Linked DNA regions of Canis lupus familiaris. The protein of the gene in region 1 purifies or fractionates together with the protein of each later gene. This does not show direct contact. Links are inferred from orthologs where the notes say so. Each region holds a gene or a part of one and is shown on either strand. Other genes may lie near its edges.

Evidence for each region.
Region 2: the proteins of ZUP1 (region 1) and RPA1 purify together in Homo sapiens (affinity purification with western blotting; 4 studies listed by BioGRID, with this or other methods). This does not show direct contact. The link is inferred for Canis lupus familiaris from reciprocal best matches to the Homo sapiens genes ZUP1 and RPA1.
Region 3: the proteins of ZUP1 (region 1) and UBR5 purify together in Homo sapiens (affinity purification with mass spectrometry, with the first as the bait; 3 studies listed by BioGRID). This does not show direct contact. The link is inferred for Canis lupus familiaris from reciprocal best matches to the Homo sapiens genes ZUP1 and UBR5.

Annotation. Positions count from the first base shown.
Region 1 is NC_049222.1:57,641,120-57,644,768, forward strand, and holds part of ZUP1 (zinc finger-containing ubiquitin peptidase 1), read right to left. Parts: intron 2,971-3,649; coding exon 2,782-2,970; intron 1,983-2,781; coding exon 1,817-1,982; intron 1-1,816. UniProt on the Homo sapiens protein: Deubiquitinase with endodeubiquitinase activity that specifically interacts with and cleaves 'Lys-63'-linked long polyubiquitin chains. Shows only weak activity against 'Lys-11' and 'Lys-48'-linked chains.
Region 2 is NC_049230.1:45,903,397-45,907,145, forward strand, and holds the start of RPA1 (replication protein A 70 kDa DNA-binding subunit), read left to right. Parts: upstream 1-1,211; 5' UTR 1,212-1,333; coding exon 1,334-1,366; intron 1,367-3,749. UniProt on the Homo sapiens protein: As part of the heterotrimeric replication protein A complex (RPA/RP-A), binds and stabilizes single-stranded DNA intermediates that form during DNA replication or upon DNA stress.
Region 3 is NC_049234.1:4,153,924-4,157,672, reverse strand, and holds the start of UBR5 (E3 ubiquitin-protein ligase UBR5), read left to right. Parts: upstream 1-1,082; 5' UTR 1,083-1,163; coding exon 1,164-1,225; intron 1,226-3,749. UniProt on the Homo sapiens protein: E3 ubiquitin-protein ligase involved in different protein quality control pathways in the cytoplasm and nucleus. Mainly acts as a ubiquitin chain elongator that extends pre-ubiquitinated substrates.

The sequences.
Region 1 (3,649 bases):
TTAGGCAGGAAAGTGGAGAACTCTTCTTTGAATGGTCCTTTACTGAAATTTGAGAGTTCCTCAAATAGCAAGCTTCCACTTAAAACTGTAAATGAAGCCTGCTCATCTTCAAGCTCCATAAAATCTTACAGGACCCTCTGATCAACTTTTTAGTGCCTCATCTTCACTCTAGGAATGGACTAAGGATTTACAAAAGTTAGAAGAAAGCTTTCAAAAAGCAAAGGACTAAAATAAACAGACATGAAAACTAATTAACATGGAAGAAACCCACAAAATCCAAGGAATAGAAAGAAAATAAATGCTGGGGAAAAATTTGCCACCATAACAGACTATGATGCTATGAAATTACTCCTTAAAATTAACATGATTGCTAAGATACAAATTTCAATAGAGTAATTGGGAGCTGAGAAAGTCTACATAGTAAAACAAAAGCAAAGGTAAAAAAAAAAAAGAAACGTGACCAATAAACTTAAAAAGTGAAAGGAGTTAGGTGGCCAACTACCAGAAATTCCAGAAAAAAATAAAGAAAAGGGAAGGATCATAATTATCAAACAACAGCTAACCTCTGAGCTCTTACTATATTGTAGTCACAGTTCTAAGCACCTTATTATTTAATATTACTCTAACTCTGTGAAGCAGTTAGTACTTACATGTTCTTTTTATCAATAATGGAACTAAGCTATAGACAAATTAAGTCATACAGCCAATAAGCAGGAAAGCTAGAATCAATTGTAGGCAGTCTGACTCCAAAGTCCAAGCTCTTCACCCCTATCCCGAGATCTTTAAACTCACAATTCCAGATTCAAAAGGAAAAACAAATGCCCAATATAATGAATTAAAGCCCCACATTCATGGTAGAACTTCTTAACAGCAGAACTAAGAGTTGATGCAAAAAACTTTCAGAGAAAATAAATAGGTTATATATAAAAGGAATGAAAATCAGATGACATTTTATGTTCTCAATAGGAACATTGATTGCTAGAAGTCAACAGAGTAAAAACTTAATTTGATCTGAATATGATTTTGAATTTAGAATAATATAGCCACCCAAACTATCAGTTTATCATTAGACACCTTTCCTTAGGGAGCTAATGAAAGATGTGTTTAAGCAGAAGAGTAGTCCAAAAAAGATAAAGACATGGAATCCAGAAAAAATTCCAGGCTCCGCTTCAAGGAAACCATGATGGAATGCTACATGATTAGCTTTGAAGGGGATCCAGGAGACTAGCGAGCACAAAAACAATAGAGGGCTCAAGGAAGAAGTGTCCAGGAATAGGAGTGCCTCAGATTACAAAGTGGAGTGTGTAAAAATGTATGAGACCATGATACAGTCAAATAGTAATAGGGAAAAGAAAAGACAATTCTTAACTCAAGGAAAATTTTTAAAAGGTTTTCAGGAAAGGAAATAAAATCAGCAATGAATGATATTATTATAGTCATGATGTAAACTCTGACTTAAATAAAAAAATGAGATTTAATCAAATTATAAGGACTGAGGGTGAACACAGGTAGGAAATGTGAGGGAAATTCAAGAGATGATGTCTAAAACTGATAAACAAAAAACAAAACGTAAAAAGCCCTGAGAGAAAAAGCATATTATTCAGAAACAACTGAAGTAACTAACAGCTGCCTCTGAGAAATCAGACTTGAGAATAGAGAAGAACATGAGCTAGGGACTGAATTATTGATTTTTAGTATAAGCCTTTCAGTATCTCTTAAATTTTATTTTTTAAATGTCTCTTTGATTAAAGAAAAAACAACAAAGAAAACCTCCCAGATACGACAATAACCTTAACTTGGGTTTTGTGGTACATACTTTACCCGTAGGGAGGTCAGGAGTGTATATACTTCACATGCTCCGATCCAGGCCTTTGTTCCCTGCAACCTGTTATTAAGTTGAGAGGCACCCTGTGGATCAAAACCTTCCTTCCATGCATCTTCAATCATAGACTGAATTTTTGGAATGCAAGGAATTGACATACCTAAAATTATACAAGCAAACACATTACATGACAATTACTAAAGTACTAAATAGTATTAGTTAGTAGTACACCATGTGCTCTAGAGGACCTATAACACGGTTTTTAAGATCATTACTCTTGACATTTTCTATTGTATCATTTTCTCTTCTTCCAACCAGAATTCAGGTTTTAATGTAATTATCCACCAAAACACTTCTTCGTTACAGCTATTAATTGTATGTACTATATATGAATTCATTCCATATTATATGTACAGGTGATCCTTGAACAATGTAAGGGTTAGGAGCACTGACCCCTGACACAGTCAGAAATCTGCATACGTTTTGCTCCCCCAAAACTTTCTTAAAGATTTTATTTATTTACTTATTAGAGAGAGGGAGAAAAACATTGAGATATCACAAGCAGGGAAAAGTGGCAGAGGGAGAGGGAGACTCCTTGCAGAGCTTGATCCCAGGACCATATGAGCCGAAGGCAGACGCTTAACCAATTGAGCCACTCAGGCACCCTGTGCTCCCCAAAAACTTCACTACTAATAACCTACTGTTGACCAGAAGCCTCCCGAATAAATATAAAAGGAACAGTTGATTAACATATATTTTATGTTATACATATTATATACTGTATTCCTATAATAAAGCTAGAAAAAAGAAACTCATAAGGAAAAAAGTCATAAGAGAAATAAAATACTAGGCTGTAAAAACTCCATTTATAAAAATCCATGTATATGTAGTTCAAACTCATGTGTTTTAGAGGGCTTATGTTATCAGTGGACAAATTGAGAGAACTGTATTTCACATACCTTTCAAGCAATCATCATAAGCATCATTTTGCAGTAATGATGAAAGTAGCATCTGGAAATTTCTGTAACCACAACCCCAACCTTTGTCACCAAAAGATGAATGAAAGTGATCCACCCCTGTGGAAAGCCACACGCGTCTCACATCTGTGGCAGCATTCTGATAGTATCTATAAAGTGCTTCAATAATTCCTAAAATAAAAAAAAAGAAGATTTAGAAGGATAAGCTATCCTCTTCTATGGATAAGCTATCCTCTTCTATGGCTGTCTCATCTATTTCTAGTATCAGCCCCTCTCCACCCTCAAGTGCCCCATCTAAATCCTGTCAATTCCATCTTCTTTATCTTTTGACTGTTATAACCTTAGTTCATGTCTTTCTTGTTACTACTATGCAAGTTTTCCTGACACTAGCATGCTACTTACTTATTACACAGAATTGAAGCGGTTTACATCTTTCATTTCTGCACCTGCAAGGTGCACATAAAAGACAATCACTGAACTCTCACTTGAATGAGGGTAACTATGGGAAAATCAGTTTTGTCCTTAACAAGACAGAGCAAATAAGTCAAAACAATTGAATGAATGTTATACTTGTCTATTATTATACATAGTGTTGGACATTATGCTCTCTGAAGCTCATCAATTTGCTCCCAATTTAAAACCTTTAGTAATGGGATCCCTGGGTGGCGCAGCGGTTTAGCGCCTGCCTTTGGCCCAGGGCGCGATCCTGGAGACCCGGGATCGAATCCCACATCGGGCTCCCGGTGCATGGAGCCTGCTTCTCCCTCTGCCTGTGTCTCTGCCTCTCTCTCTCTCTCTGTGTGACTGTCATAAATAAATTAAAAATATATATATAAAAAAATAAATAAAT
Region 2 (3,749 bases), on another chromosome or scaffold:
AAGGAATTCAGATTTCTACAAATGCACAATTCTAGGGGAAAAAAAAAATCAACCTTTCACTCCAGCAAACATGAAGCAACAAAATCAATTCTTGTGGTCTTTTTCCATAGTTTACATGCTGAGGATCTATTTTGTCTCACACCTATTCACCGAAAATCCTTTTATTCAGAAATATTTACTGAAGGCCTAGTTTGTTCCACGCACCATGCTTGCCTCAGACCTCCATCTTCCCAAGCTGTTCAAGTCAGACATCACAGATTTTTCTCTCTCTCCACCTACTACTTAATTAACAAATGTATCTCTTACACAGCTGTTTTTTCTTTCAATCCCCAGATCATTCAATTCATCTTCCACATTGAGACAGATGTAGGTCCTCTGACTTAAAGCTCCTCCAAGCTTTTGGGGAAGCCCTGTACAAATCCTTCACTATTCGACCCCTGGGCTCATTTTCTAAGGCCCAAGTCTCACGTCTTCTTCTGTACCCTATTATTCTGAGCTACTTAAAGCTATCCCCAACTTGCCAGGCTATTTGCCTCTCTAGTTGTTGCATAGGCCATGCCATCCTTCTGGTAGCATCCCTATCCTCACTTAAGCGTCCACTCGGCAAATCTGCACACACCCCCTTCAAGACCCACTTCAAATAGCACCTCCTCCAGGAAGCCTTCCCTGATTTTCCATCTGCGAGCACGGAACACTTTATGTCTCCTCTGAGGCCCATATCATGTCTACATTGAGTTAAGGCTACTCACTGCGGTAACTCCCTCGACAGACTACGCTTTCTCCCGAGGGCGGCGATCGGATCCTATTTACCTTAGGAAAAGCCCCGATGGGCCAAGCTCGGGGTTTAGCAACGGGGGGAGCTCGGCGTTTCGGTTGCTGAAGTAATCAGGTTGGTGCTTTGACTACCGTTGGCAGCACAGTCATCAGGGAACAGCTCTCTCTTCTGGGCGACCAGTAGGCCTGTCAGCCAAAGGCCGAGCCAAGTTTTTTTTCCGAGACGCGTCTCGGAAAGCTTCCGGGACTAGACCGAGGGCCCAGAGCAAGAGCTAGCGTCATCCTTGGCGCGACCCACGCCCCGGCCCCGCCCCCTGGCGCAGCCGTCGGGTGACTAGGGCCTCAGCCTGGGCTCCCGCGTGTCACGTGGCTGCTCGCAGCGCCTCGGCCAATGGGGCGGCTGCCCCGCCACTAAGCCCGCCCCCGTGCCTTGCGCATGTCAGTAGGCGGGGGTGGTGCCTGCAGCTCCTTGGCCCAATAGCTTTGGAGCGCGCGGGGCCCCAGGAGGGAAGTGGGGTCTGCTGACGAGCTGGAGCGCGGGAGTTTGCGCGGCGGAGTCATGGTGGGCCACCTGAGCGAGGGGGCCATTGCGGTGAGGAGACGCCTGCGGACCGGCAGGCCGGGGTGGCTGGGGACCCTGGGGTTGTGGGGGTGGGAAAGGGAGAAGGGGGGCTGGAGGCGATGGGGAGAGAACGCGGGAGAAGATAAAAGGGGTGGGGGAGACCGTCGAGTGACTCCCCAGAATCATCACCGTCTCCGAGAATTTCTACTGTCGTCTTTGAAACATGCCCATGTTTTTTCTACTTAAGAGAAGGAAGCAAAATTAACTCGATGGTCCCGCGTCTCCCTCCTCCGGCCACGCTGTCTCCTCCCTGTCCCCCATCCACAGCCAAACTTCTCTAGAGTTGTCTGTTTTCAGCTCACCTCCCGTTAACAGACCCCGGTCCGTCGTTCCCTCGATCACGGTCGAAGGAACCCGGGCTGAAGTTAACGGTGCTTCCAAGTCGTTAAATCCAACAGACGCTTTTCCGTTTTTAGCTCTACCAGAGTTCTCAGCAGTGTTTGGGTGTGTTGAGCATTTCGTCTTTCTGATAACACTCCCTTCTCTGGGCTTCTATGGCTTGGTTTGGCTCGTCTTCCTCGTCTTATTGCAGGTCCCTCGTTGTACGTTTTTGGTTACTCAAGGTTATGTTCTGGGCCCTCTTTGACCAACACAGTCTCATTACCAACCGTATGTCAGTTGCTCGTAAATTTCTTTGTCCGGAGCCGCCTTTACTCTGAAAAATAAACCTCTATAGTGTGTCTGCCTGCCTGATACCTCAAAGGCATTTTTTATTTTATTTTTTTTAAAAAGGTTTTATTTATTCATTCATGAGAGACACACACACACACACACAGAGGTAGAGACACAGGCAGAGGGAAAAGCAGGCTCCATGCAGGGAGCCCGACACGGGACTCCATCCCGGGACTCTGGGATCACGCCCTGGGCCGAAAGCTAAAGCTATGAGCCACCCGGGCTGCCCGGCATTTTTTTTTTTTTTTTAAGATTTTATTTATTTATTTGAGAGAGAGAGACAGCGTGAACGGCGGGGGTGGGGGGGGGGGGAGAGAGAAGCAGACTCCCCACTGAGCAGGGAGCCTCACAGAGCTGGACCCCAGGACCCATCATCATCATGACCTGAGCCAAAGGCAGATGCTTAACAAACTGAGCCACCCAGGCGCCCCCTTAAAGGCATTTTAAATTTAACATGTCCCAAAGCAAATCTGTTATTTTACTATTTGGGCCTCTTGGTGTTCCCTATCTGGATGAATGGCACCATTATCCATTAAGATATGCTAGCCAGTAATTGTGGAATCATGCTAACTGCAAACTTCCATCACCTTAGATGTCCAGTCCATCACCAAGTCCAGTGTTTTAACTCCACACATATTTCTTAAATCCATCTGCTTCTCTTCTTCTACTCTAGCTCCATCATTCCTTGCCTGGACTACGGACTCCGCCTCTCCCCCGCCAAACACACCAATTCCATCACATACTCTCATTTGTTCTCTCTTCCTTTTATTTGTTTTTGTTCTTTAAATTTTTAATTTTGGTTTAGCTAATGTATAGTGTTCTGTTAGTTTCAGGTGTACAATATAGTAATTCAGCAATTCTATACATTACTCATTGCTCATGATGAAAATTGTACTCTTTAATCCCCTTCAACTGTTTCTCCCCTCCCCCTACTCACCTTCCCTCTAGTAACCATCAGTTTGTTCTCTATAGTTAAGAGTCTGTTTCTTGGTTTGTCTCTGTCTTCCTTTTTTTCCTTTGCTCATTTGTTTCTTAAATTCCATATATGTATGAAATCATGGGATTTGTCTCTTTGACTGACTTATTTTGCTTTGGATTATACTTTCTAGCTCCATTTATGTTGTTGGAAATGGGAAGATTTCATTCTTTTGCATGGCCAAATAATATTCTATTGCATAGGGATGCCTGGGTGGCTCAGTGGTTGAGCCTATGCCTTTGGCTCAGGTCATGATCCCAGGGTCCCCAGATCAAGTTCCACATTGGGTTCCCTGCAGAGAGCCTGCTTCTTCCTCTGACTATGTCTCTGCTTCTCTGTGTGTGTGTCTTTGATGAATAAATAAATAAAATCTTTAAATTAAAAAAAAATATTCAGGCACATGGGTGGGTCAGTGGTTGAGATAGCTTTTGGCTAGGGGGGTGATTCTGGGGTCCTGGGATCAAGTCCCACATCGGGCTCCCCATGGGGAGCCTGCTCCCCAGCACACTCTGCCTGTGTCTCTGCCTCTCTCATGAATTAATAAATCTTTTTTAAAAAGTTATATTGTATATGTGCAACCATCTTTATCCATTCATCTATCAATGGACACGTGGGCTGCTTCCATAATTTGGGTATTGTAAATAATGCTGCAATAAACATGGGATACATGGATCCTTTTGAATTAGTGTTTTCATAAATTTTGAG
Region 3 (3,749 bases), on another chromosome or scaffold:
AATTTCCACATTTTGTCTTTGTGCAGGTATGTGACGTGTTGCCGGGAACACTGGGGAGACTGGGGTGATAAAAGAAGTTGCTGCAAAGTCAGCTCTCGGATCCTGCGATAGGACCTTCTGGAAAGGTCCTTACATAACTACCTCACTTCTCCAATAAAAGGCTGTGTATTCCTTGCCCCTTAAGTGATTTTGCACTTCCACTTTAAATATAACTGCGGATGAAGGGCGAGATACAACAACAAAAAACCCCTAAAGATCCGCAGGATGATTAGGACCGCCCCAGGGAAATCAGAGCGAGGAGCGCAGAGCCCCCGTTCCTTCCCACGTCCCCGGGGACACACACTCAGCCGCCCTCGCAGACCCCTTCCCCGCCCCGGCGGGCTCCCCCGCGCCGCCTCCTTCCCTAACACGTGCTCTCCGGAACACTCACTCGGGAGCGCTCCCACCCCCCGGGGGGCTGGGCTCGGGGCCGCACCGACCAATCGGCGCGCGCCTTACAGCGCCGTGGCCCGACGACGTTGAGCCGCCCAATCGAAAGGGCCTTAGCGCCCGTTTCCCGGAGCCCCGCCCCCTCGCAGCCGAGCCCCCGCCCGCCGGTCTCCTCCCTCCTTCTCCTCCTCCCGTTCGCCCCTCCCCCGCCGCTCGGGAGCGGAGCCTGCGAGACGGAGAAACTGGGGCAGAAGTGAAGATGGCGGCGGCGGTGCTGGCGGCGGCGGCGGCTTCTCGCCAGTGACGCGCGGTGCGGGCTCATCTCCCTCCCCACCTCCCTAGTCCGGACCCCGTCCGCCGCCGGGACCACACCGTCCCCGCAGCCCGCAGCCCGCCCCTCTCCGCCCTCCCCAGCGCCCCCGCTCCCGACGCCCGGCCGCCGCTGGCGGCGGCGCGCCCCGAGTCCCGGCCGCCGGCCTCGCACTCCCGCGCGCTGTCGCCGGGGAGCGGGTGGCGTGTTGATCCGCCCCTGCCCGCCCCGCCGGACCGCCGGGCCGCGGACACACGCCCGGCAGGGAGGCGGCGGCGGCCCCTGCGCATTCGCTTCCCTCCATTGGGGACTGGGAGGCGGCGGCGGCGGCGGCAGTGGGTTTTGGGGAGGGGAAGGGGGCTCGGAGGGGGTGGGCGAGAGCGGGAGGGGGCCGTCCTCGGGAGGAGGACGAGAAGGAAGCACCATGACGTCCATCCATTTCGTGGTTCACCCGCTGCCGGGCACCGAGGACCAGCTCAATGACAGGTAATAGGGCCGGCGGGCTGGCGGGCGGGGGGAGGGGCGCCTCCCCGCCCTCCCCTCCCCCACGAGGCCGCGCCGGGGCGGGCGCCCGTGTTTACGCGCCGGCCGGCGGGCGCGGGGGGGCCTCACCGCCCCCGGCTAGGCCCCTTCCGGGGCAAACTTCTGGTCCCGGGGGTCCGGGGCCGCGGGGGGAGCGCGGTGGAGACGGTGCCCGCGGTGTAGACGGGAAGGCGCGCTGCAACCTCCTCCTCCCCCCTCCCCGCCCCGTCTCCCTCCGAGGAGCCGCGTTGAACTCGGCGGAGATGATTGCGGGGGGGGATCGGGCTCCCGGCGGGGGGGGGGCGGGCTGTAATTACCGCCCGGCCCAGGCCCGAGGAATCCATATTAGTCAAAGTTGAATTGAGACAGACAATGCGGATGGGGGATGGTGGAGGTAAAAAGAGAGGGAAGAAGAGAAGCGGGGCGAGGGGCACGGGGGTAGACCGGGCTCGCCCGGGCCCCCGGGAGCTGTGTCCGGTGGGATAGTCTGGACCTGCCAAGTCTGGAGATGCCAGGGGAGGGGGAGGCTGATTCCCGGCAGATCGCGTCGGGGCGGGGGGGGTATGGAAGCGCCATGATTATTGTTATTATTATTAAATTTGAGCTCCTGCAGTGAGGTTTGCCTGCCCGGGGAGGGGATGAATTCAGGCGGGGGTGGGGAAATGGATTGGATTCCCTTTGCTCTCCTTCTTCCGTAATGGGGCTGGTGAGCTCCTTCTCCCAGCTCCTATGGTGCGAGCTTTTTTGTTTCCTTTTTTATTCTAATGATAGTGTTTTCCTGAGTTGTAATTTGACAGCTGAAAACCGTGCGTAGAGTCAAAGGAAAACTCTTACGTTTGCAGTTCGCAATGCTGCTTTCTTAACAAGCTGTAAATTTCTGGGATGGGTTTGCTATGGGCGGAGGAGGAATTATGATTTTTTTTTTTGTCTTTAATAAGAAGGCTATTTTGGCTGTGGATTCCTCCCTTTGCCTCCTCCACTGTTCCTGCCAGTTTAGGATATTGAATTGCAGGGCCGCATGCTCTCAGGGAACTAAGATAAAGCAGGAAAAGTTCCTTCACTGTTGCAAAACAGACATGGAGAAGGTTGAGGGAGGCCTCCATTAAAGTAAGTCTTAGAATTTAGGACTCCGATCTAATGATGGGCTGAATATTTAAAGGGGCCAGAAAGTGGGGCATTTTAAGCCTTCCTCCCCCACAATGATCTAGCTGCTTTCTATTTCTTTTGAGTATAAATGGCCATCTGGACCCAAGTTTAGAAGTTAGATAGGATTTTTGCTAAGTGACCGGGTGACATAAGTTGCATGACGTTGTTTGTCATGCGCTTCCCGGAGGGAGGAAGAGGCCTAACTTTCGGCTTAGACACTGGCCTCGGTCTCCGAGTATCTATCCGCCTCAGGTGGGGCGGAGAGCTTCTCAGTCCGAAAGCTGGGGGCTTAGTTTGTGGCACTGGTTCAGATTTGTCTAATCTTTGCTGTAGCCAAATTGTTGGCTGTTCGTGAAACTTTCGAAATACTTGCTGAAAATACTGAAATAAATTTTGTCATTTATTTTCTTTGTTATGTAATCCTAATTCTGATTTCACTTCATTAGAGATAGAGATCTTTAAGACTTAAAAGATTTTTTGGGTAAATTTTGGAACCGGGCTATTAGTGAGGATAGCTCTACTGTCATTCATAGAACCAAGTTGGTAGGGCTTGTAGTGTAACTTGTCTTGTAATTTAGGACATTGCACCAGTCAGGAGAGAGGGTAGGCCATGCTTTCTGTATTAGTCCTGCTTGATACCAAGAATCCTGACTGGCTTACTCAGTTGACTATGCCAAAACCTATTTTGTCTTGGGCATTTTGATTCATTTTTGTACATTGCTTTTACTTTAGCTTGTCTGAGAAATTTACAAGTAATGTATCTTTTTTTAAGCTACCTTTTCTTTAATTCCTAGTGTAAACAAGTAATCAGTTTTGTTTTTGAATCCCACAGGGGCAGTATACAATACTAAGAATATTTAGACCACTTTGAGTTTTTATGAACTAGAAGTGAGTTTGATTCAGATTATAAAACGTGTGCATCGAGGTGGCAGATATTTGAGAAAATAGTGCTGTAGGTCAAATTTTGGGGACCTGTAGTTAAGCTGGTAGCATAAAGAATGGTCTGTTGAGATTTGTGAGGACAGCATTGAGATAGTCATGCACCCTGTTTTGATGTAGCTGACTTACAGTGGAACTATTCTGTGTCTCCCCTTCAAAGGGAAAGATCCTCTTTGCATACCTCCTTGCAGAGTAATAGGATCAACCTATTGCTGCATTGCTTGACAAATATCTGTTTACAAAACAGACTGGCTTCTGGAGCTCCTTAACCAGAACAAAAAGTCCAGAATATTTTCATCTTCACATTAAAAAAAAAAAACAAACTACCAAGATTTAGTAAGTTTTGGTAATAGAAACTATAAACTATAACTTGACTTTTATATAAGAAATGTGTCTGTGCCAG